3 linked regions of the Kluyveromyces lactis genome follow. The protein of the gene in region 2 interacts with the protein of the main gene of each other region in a pairwise test. Links are inferred from orthologs where the notes say so. Each region holds a gene or a part of one and is shown on either strand. Other genes may lie near its edges.

Region 1 (11,590 bases), on a different chromosome or scaffold from region 2:
AATCTGCCACAACTTCTTGGAAAATGCAGCTAATAATAAAGCGGCGCATTGGCAAATTATACCCAGTCCAATGACAACATGAACTCCATAATTTCTAGAGAAATATATAATCACCGGCGCAAATAATAATCCTACTCCAAATGCTAAACCACCAATAGCAGCATAATCTAGCTTGCCTCCGCCAGGAAAGACATCACGGGACAAATATGTAGCAAGGTATACAGCGTAACCAGCATTTGCACCCCAGGTACAAAAATTGTACAAAAAGAATGCAAATGTGATAACCCATCCGTATCCACCGTCTGGAATCTGGATTGTTTTCTCCGTCACTGAAGGTTTCTTCTCTAAATCAGACATTTTCAACTGTTATTAATGTCAGATCGAGGGCCTTTGCTGTAACTCAACTTATTTGTCTTTTCTGTTACAGACTGCCTAAAAGTTGCTATGGTATGTGGATTGACAACTTCTGTGCTGCTGAGTTCATGTCACATCGTGTTGGGATTCATTACTTTCGTCTAAGCTCAATGAGTGAATCATATTTATATAGAAGTATGGATCCTTTGAAAGATCGGGGTGTCGGAAATATACTGGTTTGTCGATTGCACCCAACACAAGTCTATTATGTGTCAAATTACCGCTGAGAACATAGCGGCCGTATGTTGTTCTATGTTGCTCCTTAATCTCCATTACGTTTTTGACCACTGCATTTATGATTATGTCAACATGTCAGTTTCGTCTTTTCTTCTTTCAAGCAAATGGGATTTTTCGAAGAGAAAGCTTCGGAAATAAAACATTTGTCGGGAATGATGTTCTACGCCAGAAAAGATGGGCTCGAGTGTATATTTACACAGGTCTTGTGAGCCGGTTGGTTTTAGTTATTCGTACAGTAGTTTATCTGGTTTAGCAGGTTTGTTCCCGCCTGGCGGTATTCGTAAAGTTTTCTCTGATTCCCAGCAATTGACCATTGATTAGCTTTGCTGATTCATTATTAGGGGAAAAAAGTGTGTGGGTGCGATTGATCTATTCCCGAATGCCTAAAAGCAGAAACAAGCCGACGAGATCATGTCTTATGTGCCAAAGACGTAAGAAGAAGTGTGATCGGAAAGCACCCAGTTGTTCAGCGTGTTTGAAAAAAGGCTATGAATGCATCTACAATGTGAATCTGCAATCGCAGTTGGTCGATGGAACAAAGCAACTATCCAAGTCGCAACTGATAGCTAAAATTGGCATTCTCACATCACAACTTCGTGAAAAATCCGACAAAAACACCGGTAATCCGTTGACTAAACTTTGGTACACATCTTCCAAGTATGGAAGAGTGTTGACATATGGACCAACATCAGTTCGATGTTTGATAAAGTCGTCTCGTATGGGGTGGTACTACTCTGAGATTTGGAAAACTATTAAAGAAAAGCGGAACGAATGGAAGAAGAAACACGTTCATGCCATCAAAATGGAGGAAGTTTACTCCGTTGGCAATCCAATTCTTTTAAGAAGTGGTAATTCTGTGCTAGATGCCTTGTGCGGCTGCTTGCCGTCGATGGACGTTATCAAAGTATATTTAACTAGTTTCTTCAATTCTTCGTTGTTTAAAGAGTTCGAGATAGTTGATCCAAATAAAGTGTTCTCTGACGTTGATCTATGTTTAATTGCTGTCAATGGGGAGATAAAATCTATTGAATTAGGTAACAAGAAAAATTATTATAGAGTAGGCCTTATTACAAAGATTCTTTCAATGACGTACTTCCACGATAAGAATACTCCGGCAATTGACGTTTTCCACAAATATTTGGCCTCTTTCGAAAGTGCCAAGTCTGCTCATCTTGAGAGAATTCAGTTTTTCATGTTGAAGTACATCCATATCAATGCTAAGGGATTTACTGGCGGTGACGGAGGTAACAGTCTTGCCGTGGTAAGCTTAGCGTTTTCAACCGCGTTACAGATCGGGTTGTTTAGAAGAGAAACTCTGAAGCTCTTCAGGGACGATGATCGTTACATATCAAATTTATGGCAGCTTATTGTTCAAGCAGATTTAGAATGCTCATTCTCCATCGGATCTGCTTTATTGATTAGTGATGATTTTCTGTTTGATTTTGATCAAAGCCCAGGTATGACAATTGAAACCGAACAGAATTATTCACCTGCTAGTTATTTGCTATTCTTGAGAAAAATTATAGCAGAAGTGTATTCTACCAAAAATGCTCCTGATTTGAAAGTTTCTATACTTCAATTGAAGTTCTCCATTCTAACCAATTTTGGATCTCTTACGCCTTACTTGTCTCAAGGTATTAATGATGAACCTATTAATTTTCATAAGCTTTTAACGATTCTTCTCTCTTTACAGATGATCTCAAATTTGTCCATAATTGAATCTCAGATTAACCCAAGCGGGTCCAAACAATTGATACAAAATGCATCCTTGTGCCATATCGCATCACTGGTCTTGGTTCTGAATTATATTCGTGCCGTATATAACCGACAAAGAACAATCAAGGGCACAACTAACGTTGATTCCTGTTTAGATATCAGTTTAGGGTTATATCTGCACCATACTGTGTTACCGAGAGTCACACATGAGCTCGTTCTTATATTTTCTGATGCATACATGAATCGTGAAGACGATGGGTCGGCCGTTGTGTCCAGTGATGTAGATCTTCAGAAATTCATTGCTACGTTTGATACGTATTTGCAAACTGACACCGACGTGTCATTTAATGCCGTTTTAGCTTACAGGTATTTCAAATTGGTTCATGACACCTTCAAAAATGAACGTGGGTTGGAATTAGACAACTTACTCAATCAATCATACTTGTTTATTGTATCGGACGAGTTTTCCACTAGCATTATCCAGGCATTTGACTGGTCATTGCCACCCACCAATCAAGAATCACATATTCTCGATATGAATGCACTTCCTTATGGCATTAGGGATAACGATCTATTTCTTGATTCTGCGCTTGACATGTTTGATGATGAATTTTCAACGTTCTTTGCGTAGTTCAAAACTAAATGATAGAACTAACTTAACGGTTTTATCAGTTTTATGACTTTTTCTTCGTTTCTGTTACTTTATATTATGTATATTATTATGACTGTTTCATGGCTCTTCTCTAGTTAATCTGATAAAATGATGTATGTTTTACAGTTGTATTAAGAGAAGTATAAGAAGGCTCTGCCATACCTTGAGATACAAATTAACTTACGTTGCGTAATCACGCTGTTGCCCAGTTCTCATGCGGACAGTGACATGGAATTTCAGTATTGAACTTTGAATTCGAAAGATATTAGTGCATGGTGAATTACCTAATATAACTTATGTCTATAAGTTGCTTCTCTCACTGTATTTTAGTGTGTTTGTTAATCTGGCATACCATTCTTTATTTTTACCTTGTCTTCATTTTTTTTTACCTGAAATTCTGTCAGACTTTTCCACCAAAGATATGTTCGCTATCCCTCTCGAAGCTTACTATCAATCCATACAATGCATTGTATTCTCCCCGTGGTATTATAGATAAATACATATTACTTGCTTTGTCAATATTCAATCCCCTTCAATGTAGACTCATAAGAATTGTTGTAATGCTATAATTATTGGGAATTATTAAGCGACAAAGTAAATTATCTTAGAGGATTGCAGATTAATAAGTTTTATTATAATTTCACAGCAAGGAATTGTTTCAGCACTTTAGTCCATTAAGCTAGATAACTACTATATATAATTTTGGAAGAGAATAGGAATCGAACTTATGAAGAACACAGCCATTGAGTTTACAGCAAGTGATTGTGAAAGTAGCTTGGTATATTCGGTATATTAACAAGTAACAAAAAAAAAAACACACAATGAACTAGAATGTAGCTGATTAGCATGATACTGTACTTTCTGTGATACTAAATCAAATATTACTAATATCTTGAATGTATATCATTGAATTACAGCTTATTGCCGAAAGGGATTGAATCTGTATAAAAAGGCTGAAAAAACATACCTCGAAAAAAAAATAGCACGGCTGATAATATAAACCGTAAATATACTATTGAAGGGCAAGAAATATCAACAGCCTTGGCACTGATACTGCATAGAGATAAGATGGCAGATATCGAAGCTAGAACTATTATTAACGCGGCTCCAAGCGTAGTGAGAGGGGTATTTTTGGACTTTACAAAATATTCTGAATGGTCCACTTTCATTAAGGAAATATCACCAAGTGACAAACAAGAAGGCCCAGTGCCAGGGAAAGGTTTACAGGTTCTATTGGATTTCGACGGGGGATCTCCTCAAAAGATGGCTCCAGTTGTCATCACAAACTCCGACGCAGAATTTTCTTGGACGGGTGTTCTGGGTGTCAAGTCCGTGTTCAATGGAACACATAAATTCGAGTTTAAGCCATTGGAAGATGGTATGAAAACGGAACTTATTCAATCCGAAGCCTTTGGTGGTGTTTTAAAGAAACCCCTATTATGGTATGTTGGAAAGAAAACTCAGATTGGATTCGAAGCATTCAACAATGCTTTGAAAGATAGAGTTGAAAATTCCGCTTAATATCCCTTTCTGTGACGAACGAAATTAAAATCAGAACCTTTCCCAATTTGATATAAGAAGAAACATAAATGTACTTTTTATCAAAACTCCTATCCATGTGGTATTATTAAGTTAAATATTTTGTGTTTTCTCTTCTATAAATTATGCGATTATTCACATGATGAACGCAATTGCACTTCTCGTTGTTGTGCTGAGCTATATTAGGACAACATTAAATTCATTTCCCAATCTTTGTAGACAGAGAACCAGTCATCATTTTGTTCTCCGTTCAATCTTCTTCTCCATACCTCGAACATAATCTGCCGAGCTCCCCAGTAAGAACCCATCCCAGATTTACAAAGTTTGGCTGCCCATTCTTTGAATTCTAATTGTAAATTACTGTCGATGCAAGCACATCCTGCCATAAACCCTTGCCAAATTAAGGGAACTATTTTAACGCCCTTATTCTCAATCAACTCTGTCAATTGGATCAAGCTATTCAACACGTTTTGCACGTGATGTTTAACGTATTTGTAAGTTAAACCTTTAACAACGGTGAAGTAGTAAATGATCAATCCATTGTAAAAACTCATAGTATGGTGATAAACACCTTCAATAGTGTCATTAACGAAATGATCAGGCGAGCCTGGTACTTTGAAATCCCATTCTGATTTCCAGGATAAAATTCTTTGTTCAAATTCAGTACATAGTTTTTTGAATGCCTTTGGTGTTACAATATTATGCTGCCGATAATACTCCAAGTGCCGAGCAAGTCGAACACAGTCCGAAAATAATAATATGAGAGAGTTTGGTAAACCGTATAATGCGTCGGTACTTAGTATATTATTATCAGTATCGTTAGATTTCGGGTAATAATAGGATTCGCTTGCTATATTGGAGAAAATGGGAGTCGTCACACCAGAACTATCGTGTGAACCTTTTGGGAAAGCCACAGGAGAAGGCTTACCGCTGGAAGGTGAACTGAAAAATTCAATTACAATTTTACCATCCTCTCTATTGAGGGATTCTTTAAATTCTCCATTAGATAAAGATATGCCAGAAGATATATGCGAATCAATGGAAGAATTGTTGTCCAGTATTACAATTTCCTTGGTTCTGACCTTGTCCAAACTGGTACTATCTTGAATGAGTTTCAAGAAGGAAAAAATTCGATGGAGAGCCTTTGCTTTAGCCGAAATCTTCGGTCTAGTCTTCATTCTATTTTCAACGAAGTCTTCACAGATAGCCAAGTGAACTTGACAATCAGCCATGGTTCCCCAGACGACATCAATAGAATTCATAGATAAGATTGCAGTCAAAATGTCCTTATACCGCTCTTGGTTTACCGTATTAGATAAGCACCTTTTGAGAAAGCTTGATGCCTGTGTTCTAAATTCAATCCCAAGTGTTAAGAAGAACTTCATTTCCGGAGAGTTCTTGGGAAATTTACTTTGGAGATTGAAGCAAGAAACTGCGAGTAACGCATTTAGAAGTGAGTTTCTTGAATTTGAGGTGTAACCGATACCTGTTAGATCACCTAATGCTTTGAGTGCACGTGGAAAATATATAGTTTTCCAGGAATTAGTTGGTAGAACAACCACAGTCATTAGGTCAGCAACGTTCTGTAAGTAATAATTTAGCAAGAATCTCGCTAACCCATGAACATGTACACCTGTTGTGGGAATATCAAGTAAAGGGTTTGTATTTCCTGGACGATTAAAAATGGAGGGATCAGGAACTTGAGAGTGAATCACTTCGATAGCACTTCTCGGCATAGTAGATCCTGGAACGTTTAGCTCCACAAAATTCCTCAATGGTACAATGCCAATGGTTTCCTTTGCATGACCACTTTTAGTTTCGGAAGTAATAGTCGGAGGTGGCGGTTGATCAGAAGATCCTCTTCTATGGAAGAGGAGCCGATAGACTCTAGCCAATTCGTCTTCATTATCGTTTCCAGATGTGCGACCGTCATTACAATTACCATTAACACTACCATTCTTTTTCCCCATATTATCTACTGTGAGAGGAGTTTGTGGCGTATCCGGTGTATTATTCTGACGAATACCCATAAATGGTATTGTTTCCCCTTGCACTGCGGACGCCGATAGTAATGCATCGTCCCGTAGTTCATTTGAGATCCACTCGTTCCCAGGAAACAACAAAGAATTCATATCGAATTCGAATAGGGAATGAAGCTGCTGCGCAGATGTATGATCATCATTAGCAGATGATGATTCCATATCTTCTGGAGTGCATAAATTTGTGCCCTCTTTCGAATCTGAATCAGCAGTTTTAACCTTATTTTTCTTATTAGCTAGTTTCTTCTGAGCTTTTTCGATGGCATTAATGAAAACTTGATTCTTCTTACGTTTCTTCCGTGGCACGTACCTTTTTTTGACCTTATCTGTGCCTTTGAACACACCAAATTTCTTTATAATCCAAGTCTTGTCTTCAGAGATGAGCTCTAAAGGAGGAGAGCTTAACGCTGATAATTCATCGTCCATATCCTCATAATACACATATTCCTCTTTGTACCGAACGAAATCAACGTTTCTTCTCTGATACTGAGGCTCATCTGGATCTTTGATTCCTGTAGGTGTTGCGGTCACATTACCCATAGTGTCAAACTGAATTGGCCGGGTCCACCGAAGTTTTACATCGTATCCTCCACATATTAACCCACCTTTCTCACATCGCTCACATCCGGGCCGCCGAAGATCACACTTTACTTTCCTTGATCTACATGTCCAGCATCCCGTGAACGTCTTCACTCTGGGCTTCGCAGGCTTCATTCCTGCTTGTATCCTCTTTGACTCACAGTCGCTGTGAAGGAAAAATAGCCTCCAATATTTACCAAACCTTCAATATCAACCACACGCAGATGAGCGTCTAAATGATGCCACTGTTGGAACAATAATATCTACTAAAACCTTATCTTGAGCGGTACTAATCGGTTTATTATCATTGCTCTGTTTATCTGATCCTCAGAAGATGCGATGTGGATCTGTCATGTCCTTTCCTCTGTTCGTCTTTTCTCAAAATTTTCACACAAGCGGAAGGGTTAGGCGATTTGTCAATTTCTTTCTCGCTAAAAAGCTCCCTATATAGCTTAACTGTTGGATGGACTGCGCATGATATTTGGGGACAAAAAAACGCAAGCGATTTTTTGCTGCGAAAAAAAAAAAAGCAAACTCGCACTATTCTTCGCTGTGTTTAAGTTGACAGTTTGACATAAAACTCAGAACCAGAATCAAAATCACGAAACAATGATCAAGCTATACAGTTTAGCTTATAGCGCATTCGTCCATTCCATGGAGTAGAGCTGACTAGTCGGTTGGAGTTCTAGATCAACACAGGAATGTCCAGAAGAATTCGTAAAACAAGTCTTTTCAGTAAAGATGTTGGCTCTTTGATGTATGCGTTTGGTGATGTCGCGCAACCTTTACCAGAGACCATTCAATGTGTAGACGAATTGGTGGTGTCTTATTTGAGCGATATATGTGCCAATGCGTACTACTCGGCTCAAACCGTGAAGAGGAATAAGATTAAAGTGGAAGATTTCAGATTTGTACTTCGAAAGGACGAGGTGAAATTAGGTAGAGCTGAAGAGTTGATTAAGATGAATAAAGTTATTACCGATGCCAGGAAACAATTTGATAATTCAGAGGGGAAATCTTTGAAACGAGTGAAAGATGACGGTGATGATGACCACATTTCGGCTGATGAAGATGAGGAGACGACAACGGTTCCTGAACCCGTTCCTACCTCACGTCCGGTAGGCAGACCAAGGAAAAAGGGAAATGAACCTCCTAAGAAGAAGAAACGGGAAACAAGCTGAGAGTTACATTCGCATTACCCCTAGCATATCTGTACTTGAAATCCTTCTCTTGCTGGGCAAAAGAAGTGAAAAAACAAAGCAATCCTCATATAAATTCTATCATTATAGTATTACGCCTTTCTGAACAAAATGCCATATTTATGCATACTTAGCGGCAACATATACGTTTATTTTTTCTATTAGCTATATATTAACCAAATGAATAGCTTATGAGAGGGTATTATTTGAACATAATCACCTTTATCTTCATAATTGGAATTTTCAGCTGGTTCTCCTGTAGTTCTTAATATCTATAAACAAATTGTCATATAAAATGACAATTTGAGAGGTTTTTAATCTATTCTTCGTAGTTGTAGGATGGATATTCAAGCTCCTCTCCTTCTTCGAGATAGTTTGGAACACCAATAAACTTGTTCCAGAGTTTATTGAGCTTTAGTACAGTGTACTTACTAACAGTGGAAGGTAGGTCCGTATAACTTGTTACGATAAACCGCAACGCTTGCTTGAAATTCTTCCATTCTACATCCCATGCTTCTTTGAATACACCGCTGGCCTGTTCACGAACTTCGGTATGTGTTTCTTTCTTCTTCTCTGGCATTTTTAGATCATTGAATTCATTTACCTTCTTTTCTACGTTACTAACGGATTCTTTTTCTTGAGATGAATGATTGGCACTGTTAAACTTATCATTCAATACTTTGAAGAAATTATCCAATTGGAAAAAGGAGGCCAGTTTTTCACCAGGACTCTTTAATTGATAGTTGTACATTTCTTCGAATCTGTTAACTGCTTCCACTGACTTTGACAATCTGTCAAAAGTGTTGAATAAAGCAATTAATTCGTACTTGGTAAGTTTATCAACGACATGCTGTCTTGCCACATCGTCATCGTTATCCATTTCGAACAAAATCTTCAAACTAGTAGCATATCCAGTGGTTTGCACTTTACCCCACAATCTACATCTATCACATTGCACACAGTCCATAATTTTCGTGACATTCTTGAACCTGATTCTGAAATCATCCTTAAGTTGGCCACTGACCTCATCATGGAAAAGTAAATCTTCGTTGAAAACTTTGCTATTTAGCTGAGAAACGACACCATCAATCATTCCCTTAACGTCCTCGTTGTAAGCATTACAGAAACCTAGTTCATTCATATATGGTCTAATTTTCCAAAGGGCCTTCGCGACAACGGCAAAGTTGAAGTAAATGTTCGATACACGGTCAGGGAAATTTCCTACCCTGGTCATAAATAGTTCCAAATTAGGTTCCCATTTACCTGTTTCGGTGTTTAAATGTTCATTGGAAAGATGAGTACCAATTGAAGCATGCAATCCCGATATCAATCTGTAGAAGGCGTCCTTAGCTAAGCATTGGTTTTCGTCACCTAATGAGAAACAGTTTTCCTTGTAAATGCTGGACCAGATTTGCGACGATTGTTCACCGCCGTAACCCGTAAATCTCTCAGGATTAGCGGTCAAATCAACTAATACTGAATGCTGGCTATTGAAATCATTGGTATCACAGTATTCAATATCCTTTTCAGCTTCGAAACGAGGTTTGTCACATAACTCATCTAAAAATGAACATTCATCATCGGTAATATCAGTGGTAGCATTTTCAATGTTACCCAAAATTTCAGGCTGCCAATACTCTGGTAAGCTATCCCAATCTTCTACCACATCAACAGCACACGCACGATTTACGCAGTACCCATTGTTATCCGACCAGAATGGACACTCTTTATATAAATCCAATTTGAAATACTTGAAAAAATCACTTTGAACCAACGACAACAATTGTGGTCTAATATTATTGTTAACCTCGTTAATTTCATGGAAGGTCACATCACAGGTGGCTCCAATAGCTTCTGTCTTGTCCATGCGGCAGAAATTAGTCGAATCATTATCGAAAACAGTGTTGATATCCACTTTCGCCTCATCTTTTTGATCTACAGTCGAATTCAACGCTTGAACGAGCGATATTGCGCTCAAAAAGCATAGTTGCAGAACTTTTACCATGGTTTAAGGTAACAGTATTGTGATTTCTTGAAACTACTTAATGCTCACCTGTATGACAATCTATCAGTTACTATTTACTAACTGATGATTTGAAATCAAATGATTGAATCTTAGCCTTATATAAATTAACCGATTTTATTTTCTCTTTTCTTCTTTCTAGGGTACCTTTTGGCTCAAAAGAAAAAGTGGAATGGGAATCATCAAGTGACACTTTTACTACAGGCAGTATAGGTGAATAAGCACCGGAGCATTTTTGTTATGAACACATATACCACTCACGGTAGATGACTAAGGAGGAAGCTTGTGAAGTGAAAGAGTCTTTCTTTTAGTGCGGGAACCCATGGGCATTATCGCTATTTTAGCATACGTAGATTGTATTTCTTAACGATTGAACACGTCAATATGTATTTTGAAAAAACGTCACATGACAGTTTCGAAACGATTGGAAATTCCATGGGAGGTATGGTCATGCATAGGTGGCACTGGTGGCGAATAGATGGAAACTTGATGAAACTACAATCACTATCTCATTCGTCGGGGGCAGCTTCCCCTTTGTGAAGGTACTAAATGTAAGTTCTATATAAGTGCATTGCACAAAATGTAACTAATACGGACAGTGCTGGTGTTGATATTGTGAGGATACATTAACAATTCACTACCAGTATTAACACTTAAACGATTTCTCTTGAGCATGCTACTGGATCTCCAATGTATAATTCAGATGGCTGAAATTATTAATAAATCGCCCAAAGAAATGTTTAATAATCATTCTGCCATTTCTAACAATGAGTCTACGCAAACACCGACTCTGTATTTGCTAGCTATGCATACGTCTCGAATAAGATCTGGGTCTAAATCCGGAAACATCAACTGTAATGTTTGAAGTGTATTTTCTTGCTCTTTATGCTCCATCTGTTGTGCCAAAACGGTGGCTGTATGTTCGTCGATCTCTTGATGATCTCTGGGAGATCTATCCTCATACTCTGGTGAAGAGGGTGTTGGAGAAGTACTTGTGTTCCAAAAGTCGTTGAGTTTAGTTAGCACTGAATTTGCAGCATCATCAAGCGGCTTGAGTATATACTCACTTGGCGAAGGTGACACAGTACGGTGTGGGAACTTGGTAGATGAATCCTTTGGATTTAGAAGTTCTTGCTTTTTAAGATCCTTGATTTCCTCCTGATTCTGAGAATATTTCTTGTTGAAGTCTTTA
Region 2 (9,887 bases):
AATCGACATCATCTTCGTAATGATATATAACTGGCTTAGTTTTTGCTTTTGGTAGGACAGCTTTAGTACTTTTTTTCGTTGCAGCTTTGGCCTTACCTTTGGTTGTGACCTTTGACCTTGACTTTGGTACTGAGGGGCTTTCTTCATCCAGGTCTTCCGAGATGTCACTCTCATCAATAATATCTGTGTCTCTATGTTTATCCTTATTTTTATCATCATCTGTTGTTTTCGTATTAGATCTTGTTGACCTTCTTGGGGCTGGTTTCGGCTTCTTTGCCTTCGTCCTAGAACTGCTTCGAGTTGGTCTCCTCTTCGAACTTCCCTCAGAGTCAACATTTTCCACGTAATCATCTTCGTCTTCGTCATTTTCGCCTTCTGTGTAGTCATCATCATCTGGTTTCCCACTGGATCCATACTCCACAAACTCCCACACGTCAATACCGGTAGTCAAACCTTGTTTAGCCATTTCATAGGCATGGACCAAATTTTTCGAAGTCTTACTGTTAACTTTAGATAAGAAAGCCTCGATCTGTGGTAGTGTCAACTCATGCAAATTACGTGGGTTTAACCAAATGTAGGAATCATCATGAAAAAACTTCACGCAATAATTGGTTAACTCACGAGTAAATTTCTTAAAAGTAAGCACAGGTGAATATTCAATATTCTCAGCACTATCTGAATCTTGGTCTGATTCATCTGGAAGCTTGGATCTATTTTTCGTAAGAATTTGCTGAGGTATTATCTCAAACGGTATAACCATCGCTGGCCATGGTGGATAACCTTTTACTTTTGCAATTACAATATCCGTAGGTTGCAACATTTTTGACACCATTATGAAATGCACAGTTTTCGCTATTGAAGTATACCTAGCAGATACTTGAAACACCAAGGGTTGAATACCTAGATATTCCACAATCCTTAAAGAAATCGCATTTCACAGTAGCAGTTAAGTAACCTGAAATTTACGATTTCGTGTTTAAAAATCATTGAAAATAAAGCTTCTAAGGCAAAAACATTATATCACATGCAAATAGCCAAGCAATAATGAACCTTACCATCCAAGACTGATTATTTGCTACGCTAACCATAAGAATAGTAAACCTTAATTTATAACTGAAATAAGTTTTAGTATACACCAGCGAAGAAAAGAAAATGTACAAATACATATATATATATAGAACTGTCACAAACGATAATTCTTCTCGGAGAAAACCTACAAACGATAGGAGAAAAGGGTCCAGAGGAAACGGGTTATTTATTAAGAAAATAGGAAGAGAGAAGAATTAGGCATAGAGATAATGATATAGTAAAAGGAAAGCTTGTCCTTCAAAGTCTTATATCATTTCTGAGAGTCCATAGAATGTAAAAAAAAATTAATAAAAGGAAAAGGAAAAGGGTTAAAAAGTCAAGTGGTATGAGAGTTTTTCATCAGTTGCGCTTGGATAATTAAAATTTGTACAGCCTCTGATAGCCAGGAAATGTGTAAGAGTCACAGATCTCTGACATGTCGTATCGGTAGTAATTGAATTAAACTTAAAGTCAATTTGTATTGTATCCTATTTCTATTTCATTTGAGTTTAGTTTAGTTTCGTCTCCGCCCTGCACGCTTCTTTGATCTTTCAATTCAACCAGAGAATCGGGAGATCGACGGCCGATCTACAATTCGAACATTTTCGATGACAAGTCATCAAGGAAAGAGAAGGTGGATACAGATATCTTGAACAGTTGTTTCTAGTGCCACTGAACCAGTCAATTTGAGAATAATAAGATCCAGGAAGGAAAGTAGTAGAAAAAAAGGATGTAAAAAAACAGTTAGCTCACAACACGTAGACAGGCATAAATTAACTGATAACAACAACGAAAATATAACAGAACAAAAGTTTGCTTCAAAGTAGTTAATTAGATTCATATGGTTTTCAGCTCTTTTCATGTCTTTCTGTGCCATTTCTTTGAAGTGGTCAGTGTTTCACAGAATTCCAGTTAAGAAATCCCTTAAGTTCAAAACTGGCCATGTTGAGAGTTAACGCCGTTGAAGTATTGTTCGTAGGCGGCAGCATGGTCTGGGTTTAAATAAGAAGCATTAGTGAAATTCGGAGTTTGGCCCGTGCCTTGAACCTGAGGTTGCTGGTGCTGTACGGATTGGGGTTGTTGTTGCTGTTGTGAATTTTGGCCCTGCTGTTGGAGCGCCAAACGTTGTTGCTGTTGCTGTTGTTGCTGTTGTTGCTGCTGCTGCTGCTGCTGTTGTTGTTGCTGGGGCAGAAGGCCGTGGGAATGTCCACCACCTGGCAATTGGACCGAGGTAGGTACTGTGGAGTGTGGCTGACCACCAACATCGCCGCCATGATCGTGTTGCACGTTATGTTCATCATCTTCATCTTCATCTTCCTCCTCATCGTCATCATCCTCATCGTCTTCCTCTGGTGCATTCAAACACGCTTGAATTAAATTCTTGCCCTCAGGTTGTGTAACAATGGGTTGGAACTTTGGTGTAGTGAACGTATAAACTAGACCGGTTTCAGAAACAACCAAAAGAAGAACCTGAGTACCTGTTAACACAGATAACTCATATGCCTTCTTCATAATACCATGTTTCCGCTTCGAAAAGGTGATATGACGCCTGGTCTTATCCTGAATGAATTTGATCTCAATTTTTCTCCTTTCCTTGGTTTCTTTCGTGACACTGTCGTCTTTAACTTCTGAATCCGACATCACGGGCACTTGCAGCTGATTTTTTTTTTGTTTCGGTACTTTCTAAATGAGAAACACTGTTTATACCTGTTTTGTTATTTCCACAGTCTGATTATTCTATAATTGAGAGAAAAAATATATCAACAGTACAAGTACTAGTGCGACCTGGGAATGGTAAGTGGAAGTATCTAATTAACTTAATGAGGTTACTAAATAACAAAAACTTTTCAATGCTGTGCACTTCCCTAAACAGTAAAACACCTGTGTAAACTATCAGGCAAAAACACCAACTCTATATTCTTTGTTCTTTATTCTATAATTCTTTATTCTTGCGAGAAAAAAAAACGCACACATATACAGACTAAGCGAGATAAACAGTAGAAGTCAGTATTTTTAAGCAGCGAAAAATATAAAAAAATTATGGAGCTAACTGTAAATAAAGAGAGGGAGAGAGATATTATGCTCAAACACAAGGACACATTTTCTTATGACCAGTGGATTATCTGGAGGTAAAGTTTAGTTGGCTCTCAAATGTACTATGGTGATGATGTACTATGTATCAAAGTTTCGTCAACTGCAGAAGTTGGTTTTTTTCTCTTCAAGGAGATTCTGAGTATAATGTTACCGTAGATATAGATGTAGATGACACCTTTTTCTTAGGTACAGCAGGATACTAGGGATTCCTTTTGTTGACAAGGTGTTAATTGCATCCCGCCGCTATAGGACACATCTACGACGATCAACGATATATGTGGCGAGTGTTTAGGCACTTACTTATCCTTATTATATTCTTCTGTTGCCTTACCATTCATAGCATTGTCAATATCCGGACGTAGTGTTTTGAGAACTGGCCGGACCTCCTTTTCGACTGTGTGTCGTGTAGAATTACTCAAAAGAGGCATAATATGAGATAAGGGAGTGATTAGTGAAGAGCAGAGACCAAAATGTCACAGTGTACGTTACACGTGACACCAGGCGCCTCATAAAAGTTACCCGGATATCGTCCAATTCAGTACAGAGTAAAACGACGCGTGTGGTGTGTGGGTGATGGTACATGGGGTTATGGTGGTGCCACCAATACCACGACTATTGCTTATCTAAGCATAAAAATCAGCAGAGATTTTCGCTGTTCTATAATAAGCCATAGGAAGGAACATTAGGAGAAATAGGGACACCGTAGATGATATTGGGGTTTGGAATTATCGGGAAATATGTACAGAAAACAGGAAAGTGTTTCTATTACTTTCCGTATGCGGGTGATTGTCATACTTTCTGGAGTCCCCAGCCGGTACCACATTTTGATTGTTATCTCACACCATTGGAAGAGGATATACTTCCACAAGATAAACAGTGGAAATCAGAGAATAGCTGAAAATATGGTGAGATTTCCATTTCAATTGGTATGATTTGAATTCAATCTATACTTGGAATACCGGCAAATAATAATTATACGCTGATACCCCAGGGACGTGCAAAGTATCATCACTTTTCAGATGCAACTCCAAAAGGAATGACTATATAAAGACTGATTATATATGCCGTTAAATTCTTCTTGAAACCTTAGCGCTTTCCCTTCTTTTGTACCTGTTAATCGTATATCCTAATTTCCCTTCAAAACTGTCCCAAGCTACAATCAGGACAACAAACTGTTTACTGTCGCATCACTTCACACAGGACAAATAATAATCAATATACTACAATGAACCCAACTTTAGTTAGAGCTTTCCACAGATCCGCCGTCAGACTATCCCAAGCTTCTGCGGACGCTTCTTCACACAGTATGTCTACCGGAAAGTGGTTTGCTACCCTAGGAGGTGTCACTGTACTACTTGGTGCTGGTGCTGGTGCCTTGCAATGGGCCTACAAAGATTCAAAAATTGACCAAATCTTTGCCAAGGAAAGAAGACAGGGTCTACACCATTGAAGCAAAAATTGACCAAAAGCTTGCTGAACGTCGGACTCGTGCGGTTAAATACTGAGATTTTTATATATTCTTCAATTTTGTACTAATTTAATGAACGGTTATTAAACATACCCTACCCAGGTAGCGCCAGTTTTATTTTTTTTTATTTATTCTGTCGTTACTTTGTTCTTCGTTATGGAAAACTGACGCACCTGTCGGTTTAATCTTTTTTTTTTTTTATGATTGGTACTTTTACATTGCTTTGGTTCTATTTTTTGATCTTCGATACTTTTTTTTTAAGGTACTATTTAAGAACACAGTTACATATTCGACAAACTTTAATCAGTCAAAGCAACGGTAAAATTAGGATTCTTTTCAGTGGTTGGTTGTCTCATCGAATATTTGAATTATAATTGGAGGTACCAAATTGTAATCAGAAACTTTAAAATGTCAATCTATTTCTCTGTGTTGTTCATACTTCTTGTGGCCCAAATGGCTTTCATGTTCATGATAGTTATGCCCTTGCATTATCAGATAAGGAAAAGATTAGTGGTTTTCTCTGATAATTTTTTATCAGGTCCTCAATTTAGAACTGTGGTGGCTATATTAAGTTGTTTAGTGATGCTACTGTTCATTGACTCATGGAAACGTGCACAGCTCCCAGTGTTCTCTCACGCAGAGAAACCACAAGATGTGGCTAGTTCGTTGAAGACATTGACTACAAGGGCTTACAATCAAAGAAACGTATACATTTCGGGGTTCATTCTATACTTTACTATTTGTATTCCTGTCTTATTGAACTTATTAACCCGTTTGGTAAAATACGAGACTCTAATTAGGGAACTGAACTCTGTACCTGCAGTTGAAAACAAGCAAGATGAGAAGGATAAGAACAAAGCCAAGGAGAAAGAAGTCGCATCTCCCCAATTAACCGCACTACAAAAGGAGTTGGAATCAAAGAAAGTATCTTTGAAGGCGTTAAAGATTCAAATAAACAATCTAAACGAACACTTCGATGCCACTATTAAGGATAAGGATCCTCAGCCAGCCTCAGAGAAGAAAAACGATTGATATGAAACAATGTACGAACTTTTACTTAACTATAAAGCACGAAACAAAAAAATCCATTATTAACGACCACGAATACCGGATTCCCATGTCGAATTCATCAATTCTTTGAAAATGCTTTCTTGGACATGTGTCACTAATTGATTCTCTTCTGTAGTTAACCCATCATTATCTATAACCTCTTTATAATTTCTTAAGGCATGTTCTACTTCAACGACGTTACTGCATCCCAGAACTGTAGGTCCGCGGTTCAACCATTGGAAGATGGCATACTTTGTTGCCAGGTCAGCAATTTCAACGCCCTCTTTCAACAGGTACTTGGCGGCCTCACTACTCCTATGACGTAGTTCCTGTGAGCATGGATGGAAAGACTTAGTTTCACCACTGGTCAATAGAGACATTGAAAGGATGGATCCGTTGGCAACGGTTTTCACTTGACATTCTTCGATGAATTTATCGTAATACTGCTCTAGTATAAGATTTTGTAAGTTGAGGTTACAATACGATAAAATGTTGTCCAATGAACCAATGCGTTTGATATCCTTACATTTCTTAGCAATTTGATATAAGAAATCGACAGGGTACCCACTGATACCAATTCTCAAGACGATTCCTTCATCTTTCAACTTTCTCATTTCAGTGAGAGCCTCCAAGATCATATCCTCTTCGACAAACTCAATGTCATGTAGATATAACACATCCAAGTAATTTGTCTTCAACCTTTCACATGATCTCAAAACACTGCTTCTCACATGCTCCTTCGAGTAATCAAAGTCATCAAGTTGAATTCTACCAACTTTGGTGCATATTTGGTACGAGTTCCTTGGCCATTGTTCCTGAATAGATTCCAACGCTTCACCATATATTATCTCACTGGGACCATAGTATGGTGATGTATCAATAGCGTTGATTCCATTAGCGAAGGCGAACTTTAGCATATCAACAACGGGAATCGAGTATGGATTATCATTGTATTGAGTATTTAAAGTTGCTCCTCCTAAAACCAGCTGTGGTAATCCACCGAACCTCTCAACCTGCTTAACGACCATCTTTAATTTCACGGGTATGACAGGTCGATGCTAAAGTATAAATTGTATCTATATATAGGTCTGACCTACTTCAATGTTATCAATTACCAGGCGCATGCCAGTTAAATTCGATTTCTATTCGAAACCTGCAGTTCGCTCAACCACAGTTTTACCTTTTTCTCAGATTTCTTTCTTTTCTTGAATGTCAACATGGGATAAAACGAAAACTGGTTAGAAGTATTATCATCAGAACAAACAACACACAAAAGTTTTCATGAGTGATGGAACGAATGAACGGTATTAGATAAAAATTAATATTTGAGAGTGTTCGGTGGATTGTTACTTATGTGAGTGTATATCTATTTTGTATTTCTATAGAGACCAGTTTGTTTTTATCTCAGTTGAGCAGTTTAGAAATTACTATTGGAGGCAAAGATTTGAGCTAGAGCAATCACAAGACTCAAAAGTTCTTCCAACAGCAGCAAACAGTTTCTATTGTGATTAGCATAATCAGCAGACAAAGTTGTGTATTCAAGAGATAGTAGTGGTAAAATTTACTAGGAGAAACATTGCCCAGCATGCCATTCAAAAGAAGAATTGACAGTATCATGAGCAATGATCGAGGCTTTGAACTTGGTAAGAACAAGAGAGTAACGATTCGTCGTTTCAAAAATATCAATTTGATTGATATTCGTGAGTACTATCTGGACCAATCGTCTGGAGACATGAGACCTGGTAAGAAAGGTATATCGCTAACGGAGGAGCAGTACGATCAATTGATTAGGCACAGAAGTGAAATCGAGAACTGTTTGATTGATTTAGGGTCTTCTAGATCCTTAACGGATAGACCAGAGATGGATTCGTTACTTGAGAAGAAGCAGAAGAAGGACAAGCTCAAGAAGGAGAAGGAGAAGGAGAAGGAAAAGGAAAGGGAAAAGCTGAAGAAAGAAAAGGAGCTGCAAAGAGAAAAGGAGGATCGAGCTAATACTATGGGTGGAATTGTCGTACCCACAAACGTGAACGCTGTGAAAGAAGAACAACAGGACGATGCATCTGATGACGCAAACATCAAAGATGAAGATGAGGCACAGTTCGAGACAGTGAACACCGATTCTATAGCCACTACGACAAGAGCTTCCACCTCTGCCAGCAGCAATCCAAGACTGGATGATCATCTGGGGAAACTGCCTCGTTCAGCACCTGCTGTAGAAGAAGAAGATGGCGATAATACTATGGAAAGCGATCTGGCCAAGGCATTGTCACAGGACCCTCAAAACGGTCACTCAGATGAAGATATCTCCGAAGCTGATTAGATTAAATCAGACGAGATTCCGAAAGTGCTTTCCTCTTTTTTTACCATTCTTAAGCCTACGATCTTTACATAAATATATACCACTAAGTATATGCACACTTGCTTAATTTCTTATTTACTTGTTTGGCAGTCTACACGTTTAGAAGGTTGATGCTATTGTCATCAGTTACCCGGACGAAGCTCCTCTTCTAGATCGAAAGCGGAAAGCTATAGCAAAGAAAAGAAAAATATATCAAACCTAAATCAAACTGTTTATTTCTGAAAGATCAAACTACCTGATAATTTCATTTCAGATAATATGAATTAAATGGAAAGGAAAGTCAATGGCATAGAACGTTTCTGTTTGAGTGTGTATCTATCAATATTCCAATTTTGATTTATCAGGCATGCTAGCAAGAGTGTAAGGAGAAGGATTTTACACTAGCACGCTCTTTTCGGTTTAATTGTGAGAGTTAACGTTTGATTTTCCATTTATATCAAGAAATTCAAGGACCCTTAAAACACACCACTCTCATTTTAGTAGATTGATAACGGCGTGATGCCAGATAAAAAGGATCAGGTGCCCTTACTAGGCTCTCCGGAGACGAAAGCTAAGCGGACCAGGAGACGTTCCGTGTTTCAGAATGCAGATGTACAGTCTCCTTACCGGGTGAAAGTCGATAAATCCGATTCGATGGGATTGTTACACGATACAGATGACGACGAGGATGAGACAGAAGAAAACGTCTTTCAAACGTCAAATTCAAGAAAGTCTCATGGTTCTTATGAGTCCCAGTTTTCAGGATCATACATCGATCATAGGCCATCTCTTGCCGTTTTGGATCAATCATCGTCTTCTATGAAAAAGAAGCCCTCAAGACCTTCTTTTAGTGATCCGTTCAATCAAGGATCTGCAAGCAGAAAAACCCAATCGACCTCCAAAGTTATATCATCTCAGGGTTCGGGAGCAAGAAGGAGACCTTCTAATATTGGGCCTCATTCCACGCCACTCAATAGATCAACCTCGGCAGGGAACTATGGCTCGTTGAATAATCGAAATGATGTGGTTATCGATATGGATGCGTTAATGGAGCATGTTAATAGGAAAAACAGATCACCTTCAAGTTTAACTTCAAGACCAAGCTCTGTATCGAAGGGTTCGTCTGAAGACGAGTACAATTCACAGCCTTCTTCTCGAGGAACAAGCGATTCGAGTTCTTTGGATGACGTTTGTCTACCAATAGATGACGAAACAGAAGAAGGTTCTAAAGTTTGGCCTGATGTGTCGGTTTTGGAAGAATTTTCACAAGAAGAGATAGAAAGATTAAGAAGAGAAGCGATAAGGGATACGGAGAATTTTCATTTCCAGTATGATGAGGACGATTTTGACCATGATTACTCGGATGAGGAAAGGTTGGTCTCATTTGGAGCTCAAAATACTGGCAACTTAGATTCACAACAGGGTCAAGCCAACGGTCTAACTTTTACGAGGCCAATAATAACCAATATTGACGTCCCAGAGCTAGGAAATACTAGGGTCAACGAGACAGAACATTTGAAGAATGGGAGGCTAAGACCAAAGAAGTTGACACCATGGCATTTAAAGCGGGGTAATCTTAACCTACCTGGGCTTTCTAGTGCTGCAATCTCGAACCAAGCCCCCGGTAACGCTAAACAGCCACATGGATCAAATTCCAAGGCTGCATCTGTTAGGTCAAATTCAAAGTTTAGTGAAAGCAGGCCTTTTACGGATTCTAGAAGAAATGATCTCCTTGTTGGAAGGAATATTCAGTATCCCCCACACATTATATCAAATAATCCAGAAATTTTCAGGTTCACATACTTTAGAGAAGACTTGGATTCAACTATTCACTCTCCTACAATTTCGGGATTGTTGCAACCCGGTCAA
Region 3 (10,251 bases), on a different chromosome or scaffold from region 2:
AGAAGCTCTTGCAAATCAATATTCCGAGGAAGAAAAAGAACGTAATGATCAGCAAATAGACGAGGAAACAGCAGAGCAAGGAGAAGACGCTTCTGACGAGTACAACGAAGATTATAACATGCACAATAATGAGGAACAACAAAAGTTGAATAAGACTACTTCCTCCGTTGACAGCGAAAAGGACGTAAACCAAAAGGATAAACTAGCTTACGAGCCCAGCGGTTTCAGATCTCCGGTTCCTGCACCTTTGCAAGTTTCAAACCCAGAATTGAGACTTGATCTACCATTTTCTCCAGAAGTTAACGTTTATGATACTCCCGAACAGTACGTTGTTGTATTGGCATTACCTGGTGCGAACTCGAAGGAGTTTAAAATTGATTTCCATCCTTCATCGCACGAGTTACTGATCAAAGGTGCTGTCGACAACAAGATCGGGATTGATAAAAAGTACGTGAAGATCTCAGAATTGAAATACGGTGATTTTGAAAGATCTGTCAAGTTCCCCGTTTTACCGAGAATTAAAGATGAAGAGATTAAAGCATCGTACTTTAACGGATTGCTTCAAATCAAAGTCCCAAAAATTCCACAAGATGCTAATAAACCACAACCAAAGAAAAGAATTATAATAGAAGATGTACCAGATGAAGAACTTGTGTTTGAGACTGCTCCTCGCAATTTATGAAATCATCCCTGGCTTCACATTGGAAAACTGGTTCAGCCAAACATTTATATGAACAATTGTTATGAATTAAAATAAGATCTCATGTTTAGTAATCGCTTATGTATAATATTAATATTACACGAATACCAGCACCCTCATTTTATACAGTTACATAGAGGAAGAACGGAACGGTTGCACCAGGTTATTGATGCCATATTACGTATTGGGCGCTACAATGGTGTTAGTCTATTTAGGAATATATGCAGTCGTATAAAATTACATCATCGCTAATTGCAAAAAATTTTAAACAGCTTGATAGAGAAGATCGAAAAGTGTAAGAAAGCGTTACTGATGATCATCATGATCCTCCCATCAGCGAATTGCCCTCTATTTGCAAGCTTAAATTGGAACAAGGTACCGGTCTATAGCATCTACTAGTAGACATGTCAGACCAACAAAATCAAGACCAAGGGCAAGGCCAAGGTTACAATCAGTATAACCAATATGGCCAGTACAACCAGTACTACAACCAACAGGGCTATCAAGGCTACAACGGCCAACAAGGTGCTCCTCAAGGCTACCAAGCATATCAAGCTTATGGACAGCAGCCTCAAGGAGCCTACCAGGGCTACAACCCTCAACAAGCTCAAGGCTACCAACCTTACCAGGGCTACAATGCTCAGCAACAAGGTTACAACGCTCAGCAAGGCGGTCACAACAATAACTACAATAAAAATTATAATAATAAAAACAGTTACAATAACTATAATAAGCAGGGTTATCAAGGTGCTCAAGGATATAATGCACAACAGCCAACCGGTTACGCTGCTCCAGCACAGTCTTCATCCCAGGGTATGACTTTGAAAGATTTCCAAAACCAACAAGGCAGTACTAATGCAGCCAAGCCAAAGCCTAAGTTAAAGTTGGCCTCTAGCTCTGGTATTAAGTTAGTAGGTGCCAAGAAACCTGTAGCACCCAAAACTGAGAAAACTGATGAATCCAAGGAAGCAACTAAAACTACCGACGACAACGAAGAAGCACAATCTGAATTGCCCAAAATTGATGATTTGAAAATCTCAGAGGCTGAAAAACCAAAAACTAAGGAGAATACCCCATCTGCTGATGATACTTCCTCAGAGAAGACTACCAGCGCTAAGGCAGACACATCTACAGGAGGAGCGAACTCCGTGGATGCTCTAATCAAGGAACAAGAAGATGAGGTTGACGAAGAAGTCGTTAAAGATATGTTTGGTGGTAAGGATCATGTTTCCATCATTTTCATGGGTCACGTCGATGCTGGTAAGTCAACAATGGGTGGTAACTTGTTATATCTGACTGGTTCTGTGGATAAAAGAACCGTTGAGAAATATGAGAGAGAGGCTAAAGAGGCTGGTAGACAAGGTTGGTATTTATCATGGGTGATGGATACCAACAAAGAAGAAAGAAACGACGGTAAAACCATTGAAGTGGGTAGAGCGTACTTTGAAACTGAAAAGAGACGTTACACTATTTTGGATGCTCCCGGTCACAAAATGTATGTTTCTGAAATGATTGGTGGTGCATCTCAAGCCGATATTGGTATTTTGGTTATTTCTGCTAGAAAGGGTGAATATGAAACTGGTTTCGAAAAGGGTGGTCAAACTCGTGAGCACGCTTTATTAGCCAAGACACAAGGTGTCAACAAAATGATTGTAGTTATCAACAAGATGGATGATCCAACTGTGGGATGGGATAAGGAAAGATATGATCACTGTGTTGGTAACTTGACAAACTTTTTGAAGGCTGTGGGTTACAATGTTAAGGAGGACGTCATTTTCATGCCAGTGTCTGGTTACACAGGTGCAGGTTTGAAGGAACGTGTCGATCCTAAGGACTGTCCATGGTATACTGGTCCATCTTTATTAGAATATCTTGACAATATGAAGACTACTGATCGTCATATCAATGCTCCATTCATGCTTCCAATTGCTTCTAAGATGAAGGACATGGGTACTGTTGTGGAAGGTAAAATCGAATCTGGACACATTAGAAAGGGTAACCAAACTTTACTAATGCCTAACAGGACCTCTGTTGAAATTCTGACCATTTATAACGAAACTGAAAGCGAAGTTGACATGGCTGTTTGTGGTGAGCAGGTTAGATTAAGAATTAAAGGTGTCGAAGAAGAAGAAATTTCTGCTGGTTTCGTTCTAACCTCTCCAAAAAACCCAGTTAAGAATGTAACGAGATTTGTGGCTCAAATTGCTATTGTCGAATTGAAATCGATCATGTCTGCTGGTTTCTCGTGCGTTATGCATATTCATACAGCTATCGAAGAAGTCACCGTCACAAGATTGCTTCACAAGCTTGAGAAGGGGTCAAACAGAAAATCAAAGAAGCCTCCAGCATTTGCTAAAAAGGGTATGAAGATCATTGCCGTTATCGAGACTAATGAACCGGTATGTGTTGAAACATACGATGATTACCCACAATTGGGTAGATTCACTTTAAGAGATCAAGGTACCACCATTGCTATCGGTAAGATTGTGAAAATCCTTGAAAATTGATCTCGGTTTTTATGAATCCATATCACAATGCATATTTACTAGGTGTCTAGTCTAGATTGTATATTTAGTTTTTAATCTTTCAAAAATGTCTATAAGACTTTCAACCCCGTCAAGTACATTGTCATCTATTCCTAATCCTGGGGTAAATTTGGTATGTGCAAAATCTATTATCGACATGCGACTCAATTCTGTCTTTCCTGATATGCTCTCCTTTGACTGTCCATCTTTAATGGACCCTTCCTCATCCGAATCATATGATACATGGGACGGTATTAATTCTTGTTCCTGAGAGAAGTTGATCCACCGAGTAGTATCGCATTCATATATGAATAGAAGGCTACTTGATATCATGCGAACCTCTTCATTCAATAGCGTATTATAGAAAAGCTGAAGCCTTTTTGAAAACATGTGAATCAAATCATTACGATTTTGGAGTGAAAGATTATTATCGCCAAAGTACAAATCAAATGCGTCCGTTACATTCGAAGCTGTCAACTCACGACCGTAATATTTATTGACAAAAATATACCCATCATCTTCCGGTTCATAATACTTCGAGTGTAGTTCTTGGACATTTGTGTTTTTTAAGATATTCATACCACATATTCTAAACCCTAAAGTCCCAGAAGTTGATGTCTTACTTACTTCATCTAATCTTATTCTTTTCTCTTCACTTGCTGCATCATCCCACAGAACATGTCCTAACTTGATATCCAATACGTTTGGTCGTACATATCCGTGCAATAGATTTTCCATAACTAAGTAAACATTTCCATCGGTTTGTGACTTACTAGTTAGACTTGTGGGGGAACACGCGTTCAGTCTCTCTATTACTCTTTCTTGGTCAAAGTCTTTGTTCTGTTCTTTATTCTCTTGCAATATACCTAAGAATGTAGGTGTCCAGTCCTGTAATGGAATGTCATCCGTGTTGTCTATTGCATGTCTGGTGGCCAAGTGTTCATAAAACTTTATTTCTTGTTTCGTGGAAGGTTTGAACAGAAGCATCTCATTGGGATCCGTTAATGGTCCTTCATGGCCAGCAGCTTGACGTTTTAGTTTCTTAAAGTCTTTGATGTTCATGCTGTATATTCAAAACGCCATCTATAGGTGATTCCTCGTCCTCATGAGCTCAATTCTTTCTTTACGCAGTTGATGTAGCATCATCTGGCTTGCTCGAACGGTGCTCAGTTGTCTTTTTTATTTTTATAAATACATTCTTCTGTCAGTAGATGTTATCAAAAAAGGTATTCATAGAATTGCGGCATTCATATCATTCCAGAATGATATGCTTGCCAATAGAAAACATACAAAATCTATACATATATTAACTGGCTTCAAAATAGTAACAAAATATTGCATGTGGTATTCATCCACTTATTTATCATTGGGAGGTCAAAGTCTAGTTCCGTTTCGGTATTTTTTTTAAGTTAAGTAACATCCGGAGAACATGAGCTAACGAAAATTTCACACATCGTTCCATAATCTCCCATGGACTGATTGTAATTCCTCTTTAGTTGGTGCTTTTTCTGATGAGAAATAACCTGAGTTGATTTTAGCATCGATTTCAACTCTGGAATCTGGAGGAATCATTTCATCTGGAATCGGAATTCTTTCGACGATTTCAATTCCCTGATCAACGATTGCATCATATTTCATGTTTGACATGGACAACATCTTATCGATCTTGGAAATACCTAACCATTTAAGGACGTCTGGCATTAATTGTTGAAATCTCATATCCCTCACACCAGCGATACATTCTGTTCTGTGGAAATACTCGTCAGCGGTATCACCGCCTCTCTTACGAGCATTGTATACTAAATATTTGGTAACTTCACCAAGTGCACGCCCTTCTTTACGGAAGTAAATAACAAGACCAGTTCCTCCATTCTGGGCCTCCTTTACTGCTTCAATAATACCAAACATCAAGTATGGACGGCAAGTACAAATATCAGAACCGAAGACGTCGGAACCGTTACATTCATCGTGAACTCTCAAAGCGATTTTCTTTTCTGGATTGGAAATGTTTTGCGGATTACCGAAAATATACACTGTCAATCCACCAATTGGAGGCATGTAAGTTTTGATATCGGGTCTAGTGATCAATTCTGGGTACATACCATTTGTATCCTCAAATAAACATTTTCTTAACTCTTCTTCAGTGATTCCAAATCTTTCAGCGACCCCTGGTAAATACCAAACAGGTTCAACGGCAATCTTCGAAACACTTAGGTCACCGTTAGAGTTGACAATGATATTACCGTCGATTTTCAATTCGCCTTTATCAACGGCCTCTTTCAACTCAAGCAATTGCATGGTTGCCTTGGTGATGGCAATAGTTGGTCTGATATCCACGTTTGCAGACTTAGCAACATCATCAAACAAATAAGGTGTTAAGTGACCAAAAGGATCCATCGATACAATATCACGGTTGTTAAACCATGATGGCTGTTCTGGGATTGTAAACACAGGTTGCGCGTTGGTATAGTCTGGAATATGGTCGCGTTTTAACTGGTTTGAACCAATGGCCAAAGCATTATAGATGCAGTATGGACCAGCATGAGCACCGATGCAATTGTGTTTAGAGATACCACTTTTATTTCTTGATGGAACCACAGGACCCCTTTCTTGACAATCAGCAGCACCCCAGTTCAATGGGATAGGAGAGGAATCTTCTGGGTAGGTGGTTAAAAGGACATCATTAACTGGTGTCGCTTTGATGTGTTGTTCTACTTCCTTACGGGTAACGGCGATTGGACTCATCTTTAGTTGATAATTTCACAATATCCTTAATGATTGATACTTTTTGATTTAATCTTGATACTTATAGATGTGTTTACTATATGCATTACTTAATTGAACCTTATCCAAACTAAGTTCTTCTTCTTCGACAAACGCTCTTCTTTTATAGATTTTGAAGGATAATATATCCTGTAATAATTTACACAAAGATAACTAGGCTCCCATGCACTCGAAACTATACAAATCGCTCGAGCTTTCCGTTTTCTATCTCCCGTACCTCTTTTTGTTATCCTAATCACACGCTATCTACGTTTTTGTTTCACTAACTGACGCATGTCAATTTTCCTCCGACGGATTTCCTTCGGAGGAAAATGGTACAGCATATTATGTCAGCACCGCCAGTATTAAACAGGGAAAACAACGACTAAATATCTCCTATGGAGATATGTATACATACATATGGGTAGATAGATGCTTTACACATGAAGGTGTTAGTTAACCGCACTAATTGACATACATGCAATCTGTTTACTTGTTTTTAGGTTGTTATTCTCAATCACTAAGGTCGCCAACGGAGATTTGAGGTCCCAAACTCAAAGTAGAGATATGAAAAGTAAATTCAGATTGTAAGTTTGGAAATTATTACAAATGCTCCAGAATATACCAAATTTGGCGTCCCTTTGTGGGCTATGAAGTGCTATAAAAGAGGTTACTCCAATAGATAATTCTCATCATAGATGATTCTAATCACGTGATCAACAAATCACGTGCTCGACACAGCAGAAGAGGCTTATAAAATTATACAATGTAGAACTAAACTTAAGTTTCCAGATCCATTTCCTGTAGCAAGTATCTACGGTTTATATCACTGCCTCTTGGCTGAACATTCTGGTAACATCATTCAGCTGCTTTACTTAATCACTTATACTTCAGAAAGACTTCAGAGAGCAGATCTTCAAGCCAATTCTCCTATTATAGGGGAAAAACGGAGCCAGCCATCCACCTTAAAAGGAAAGAAAAAAAATATCTGAAATTAAATGAGATTCAGAAAGAAGTATACATAATATCGTATTTGGTGGAACGATTACGGAGGTGATTATATACACACTAAGGTGCAGTGCTGTCGAAGAAATATTGCCAAACATGTCAGAAGAACCTGTGGACCGCACGAACCCAGCAATTGCTGAGGAACGTGATATACAAGCCCTAGATTCGACCACGACTGTTGATATCAATGTGAATTCGGTAACCGACGCTGATGCGAACGTGGAGAACAACACCCCTGATGTGCCTGATGTTGATGTGACGCCATCTCCATCAGCAAATAAAACTGTAAATAGTAACACCGAGGGAGCGGCCCATGCTAGAAATGCGTCAATTGTATCTATGAATAACGCGAACATTAAATCGGTTGTTTTGTTTGTAAAATCAACGTTGGAATCCATAATGAAATCCAAAGAACTTAAGAAACTTACGAGTTGTCAGAAAGATATAGAAAGGACTTTGAAGTCCCTAGAACAAACCTCAGCAGCGCCAACCGGAACTTCGGTAGAAATTGACTCGTTGCTCGTTTTTGAAGCGTTAAGATCATGTTGCAGATCTAAGATCATTGATATTCAAATAAAGGCTTTAGATTGTTTCGCTAAACTGTTCTCCTTTCAAGCCTTGGACGAATCGCTGCTAGTGAATCCTCCAGACTCAATGGCTTCAAACGATCAGAACCCTGAAAATATTGGAATTACTCCACCTCCAAAACAAAAGCTTATTGATGCGGTAATTGACACAATTTGTGATTGTTTTGAAGGGGAAAATACAGACTCAAGAGTGGAACTGCAAGTTGTACGTGGTTTAGCCAGTTGTATCTTAATCGATGAAGCTACTTCTTGTGTCCATGGCGCTTCCTTATTGAAGGCCATCAGACAAATTTACAACATTTTCATCTTTTCGCTACATTCATCCAATCAAGGCATAGCGCAAGCCACTTTGACCCAAATTGTCACGACCGTTTTCGATAGGATCGATGTGAAAAGTTTGAATCAACAGAGATCACTTTCAACAATTAGCTTAAAGAATGCTGCTTCCACCAATGGAGGAACATCCACTCCATCATCTGAACATCCGTTAACTTTGCAAAATTTGGATACACTAAATGACGAGACTGAAAGACTGGTAGACGAAGAAGAAAATTTCCAGAAACCCGATGACTCCATCACTGATGAACAAGCTCTTACCATCAAAGACGCTTTCCTTTTGTTTAGAGCCATGGCAAAAATATCTGCAAAACCTTTGGAAGACTCACTAGATATGAGATCTCATGTAGTAAGATCGAAACTTTTATCTCTTCATACTCTACATTCAATATTAAAAGACCATATCGACGTTTTCTTGTCTCAAAACGTTAGGGTTCCAGGAAAAGAGCAAGTCAGCTTAGTTCATGCAGTCAATCAGTATTTGTGTTTATCACTTGCGAGAAATGCAGCCTCTCCAATTGCGCCCGTGTATGAGATAACTTTAGAAATTATGTGGTTGATAATATCGAACTTGAGATCTGAGTTTAAGAGAGAGATTCCCGTGTTCCTCACAGATATTTATTTCCCTATTGCGGATTTAAAGTCTTCGACCAATCACCAGAAAAGATACTTTTTGAGTATTATCCAACGTGTTTGTAATGATCCACGGACGCTCATTGAATTCTATCTTAATTATGACTGTGATAGTCATATGCCAAATGTTGTTGAGTTGATCATAAACTACCTCACAAAATTAGCTCTTACACGTGTAGATGTGACAACATCACAAAGAGCTTATTACAATGATTCATTAAGCAAGCCGCTTGCAACATTTAGTTATACTCAAGTTCCTTTGTTATCGATCTCCAATATCCCATCATCTTCTGACTCCTCTCAACTTCCGTTTCCGGTTGATTATGCTCTAAAACAAATGGCCCTTACATGTATGGTCGCGTTCCTCACATCTTTGAGTTCATGGGCACATAAAGCGCTAAATTCCAGTTCGATCAACACGGTAGGGAGTAGCCAATCCAAAGCTTTGAGCCAGAGAGCAGATTCCTCAACCCTCCTATCTTCGAACAGACCTCGTTCAACTTCTGCTCTCAGTTCGGTGTCTAACACGGATACAAACTCTGTATCTGAATCAACAACAAATGAAGAAGTAGATGACCCTCTGCAATTTGAAACTGCTAAATTAAGGAAAACGGAACTGTTGAATTGTGTGAAGTTATTTAACTACAAAACTAAGAAGGGAATTGCAGAGTCGATAAAAAAAGGTTTCATCGAGGACGATTCCAGTGTTGCTATTGCAAAATGGTTATTGAATACCGATGGGCTTGACCTATCTGCCGTAGGAGAATATCTTGGTGAAGGCAATGAAAAAAATATTTCTATCATGCACGCATTTGTTGATCAGTTTGAATTTACAAATCTCTCCATAGTTAGTGCTTTAAGATTATTCCTTCAAAAGTTTAGATTACCTGGCGAAGGACAAAAAATTGATAGATTCATGCTTAAATTCGCTGAGCGCTTCGTTGATCAAAACCCTAATGTTTTCTCTAAAGCAGATACAGCTTATGTTTTGGCATATTCGATTATTCTTTTGAATACCGACTTGCATTCCACTCAGATCAAAAAGAAAATGACTCTTGAAGAGTTTATAGAGAATAACTCAGGCATAGACAATGGAAAGGACTTGCCAAGGGAATACATGGAACAAATATTCGAAGAGATATCAAACCATGAAATCAAATTGCTCTCGGAACAACACCAAGCAATGATTTCGGGTGATGCTACTGCAGCGTTACCTCAGCAATCCTCATTTGGGTTCTTCAATGGCAAGGATTATGAAAGGGAAGCCTATATCCAAGTGTCTAAGCAAATTTCTTCGAAGACCGAATTAGTATTCAAAAACTTGAGCAAGAATAAGGACACTGTGTACTACGCTGCATCACACGTTGAACATGTTAAATCGATTTTCGAAACATTGTGGATGTCTTTCTTGGCTGCTTTGACCCCTCCTTTCAAGGAATACAATGACATAGAAACTTCTGATTTATGCCTTAAGGGTATCAAAACTTCTATCAAAATCGCTGCTACGTTCGGCATTGATTATGCAAGGGCTTCATTCGTCGGTGCATTAATTCAATTCGCTAATCTTCAAAACCTTGAAGAAATAAAAATAAAGAATGTATATGCAATCATAACTCTTCTTGAAATCGCTGTTTCGGAAGGTAATTACATGAAGGACTCCTGGAAAGATATTCTAGTCATCGTTTCTCAAGTGGAGCGT

The links.
Region 1: the proteins of KLLA0_F26807g (region 2) and ARG81 interact in a two-hybrid assay, tested with the Saccharomyces cerevisiae proteins (2 studies listed by BioGRID). The link is inferred for Kluyveromyces lactis from reciprocal best matches to the Saccharomyces cerevisiae genes MCM1 and ARG81.
Region 3: the proteins of KLLA0_F26807g (region 2) and ARG82 interact in a two-hybrid assay, tested with the Saccharomyces cerevisiae proteins (3 studies listed by BioGRID). The link is inferred for Kluyveromyces lactis from reciprocal best matches to the Saccharomyces cerevisiae genes MCM1 and ARG82.

Annotation. Positions count from the first base shown.
Region 1 is NC_006040.1:856,986-868,575, forward strand, and holds ARG81 (Arg81p), read right to left. Parts: upstream 7,312-11,590; coding exon 4,741-7,311; downstream 1-4,740. Other genes in the region: KLLA0_D10131g (uncharacterized protein), read right to left, coding at 1-357; KLLA0_D10153g (Zn(II)2Cys6 transcription factor), read left to right, coding at 1,031-2,998; KLLA0_D10175g (SRPBCC domain-containing protein), read left to right, coding at 4,088-4,540; TAF13 (Taf13p), read left to right, coding at 7,878-8,357; ERO1 (ER oxidoreductin), read right to left, coding at 8,695-10,380; guanine nucleotide exchange factor VPS9, read right to left, coding at 11,146-11,590. UniProt on the Saccharomyces cerevisiae protein: With ARG80, ARG82 and MCM1, coordinates the expression of arginine anabolic and catabolic genes in response to arginine.
Region 2 is NC_006042.1:2,472,744-2,482,630, forward strand, and holds KLLA0_F26807g (uncharacterized protein), read right to left. Parts: upstream 2,710-9,887; coding exon 1,999-2,709; downstream 1-1,998. Other genes in the region: IOC4 (Ioc4p), read right to left, coding at 1-832; KLLA0_F26818g (uncharacterized protein), read left to right, coding at 4,388-4,612; YET2 (Yet2p), read left to right, coding at 5,039-5,662; D-arabinose 1-dehydrogenase (NAD(P)(+)) ARA2, read right to left, coding at 5,722-6,708; chromatin-binding transcription coactivator SUB1, read left to right, coding at 7,266-8,000; putative Mg(2+) transporter MNR2, read left to right, coding at 8,538-9,887. UniProt on the Saccharomyces cerevisiae protein: Transcription factor required for the efficient replication of minichromosomes and the transcriptional regulation of early cell cycle genes. Activates transcription of ECB-dependent genes during the G1/M phase.
Region 3 is NC_006040.1:1,479,911-1,490,161, reverse strand, and holds ARG82 (inositol polyphosphate multikinase), read right to left. Parts: upstream 4,288-10,251; coding exon 3,259-4,287; downstream 1-3,258. Other genes in the region: heat shock protein HSP42, read left to right, coding at 1-682; SUP35 (translation termination factor GTPase eRF3), read left to right, coding at 1,105-3,207; KLLA0_D17380g (uncharacterized protein), read right to left, coding at 4,672-5,970; Arf family guanine nucleotide exchange factor SEC7, read left to right, coding at 7,093-10,251. UniProt on the Saccharomyces cerevisiae protein: Inositol phosphate kinase with both monophosphoinositol and diphosphoinositol polyphosphate synthase activities.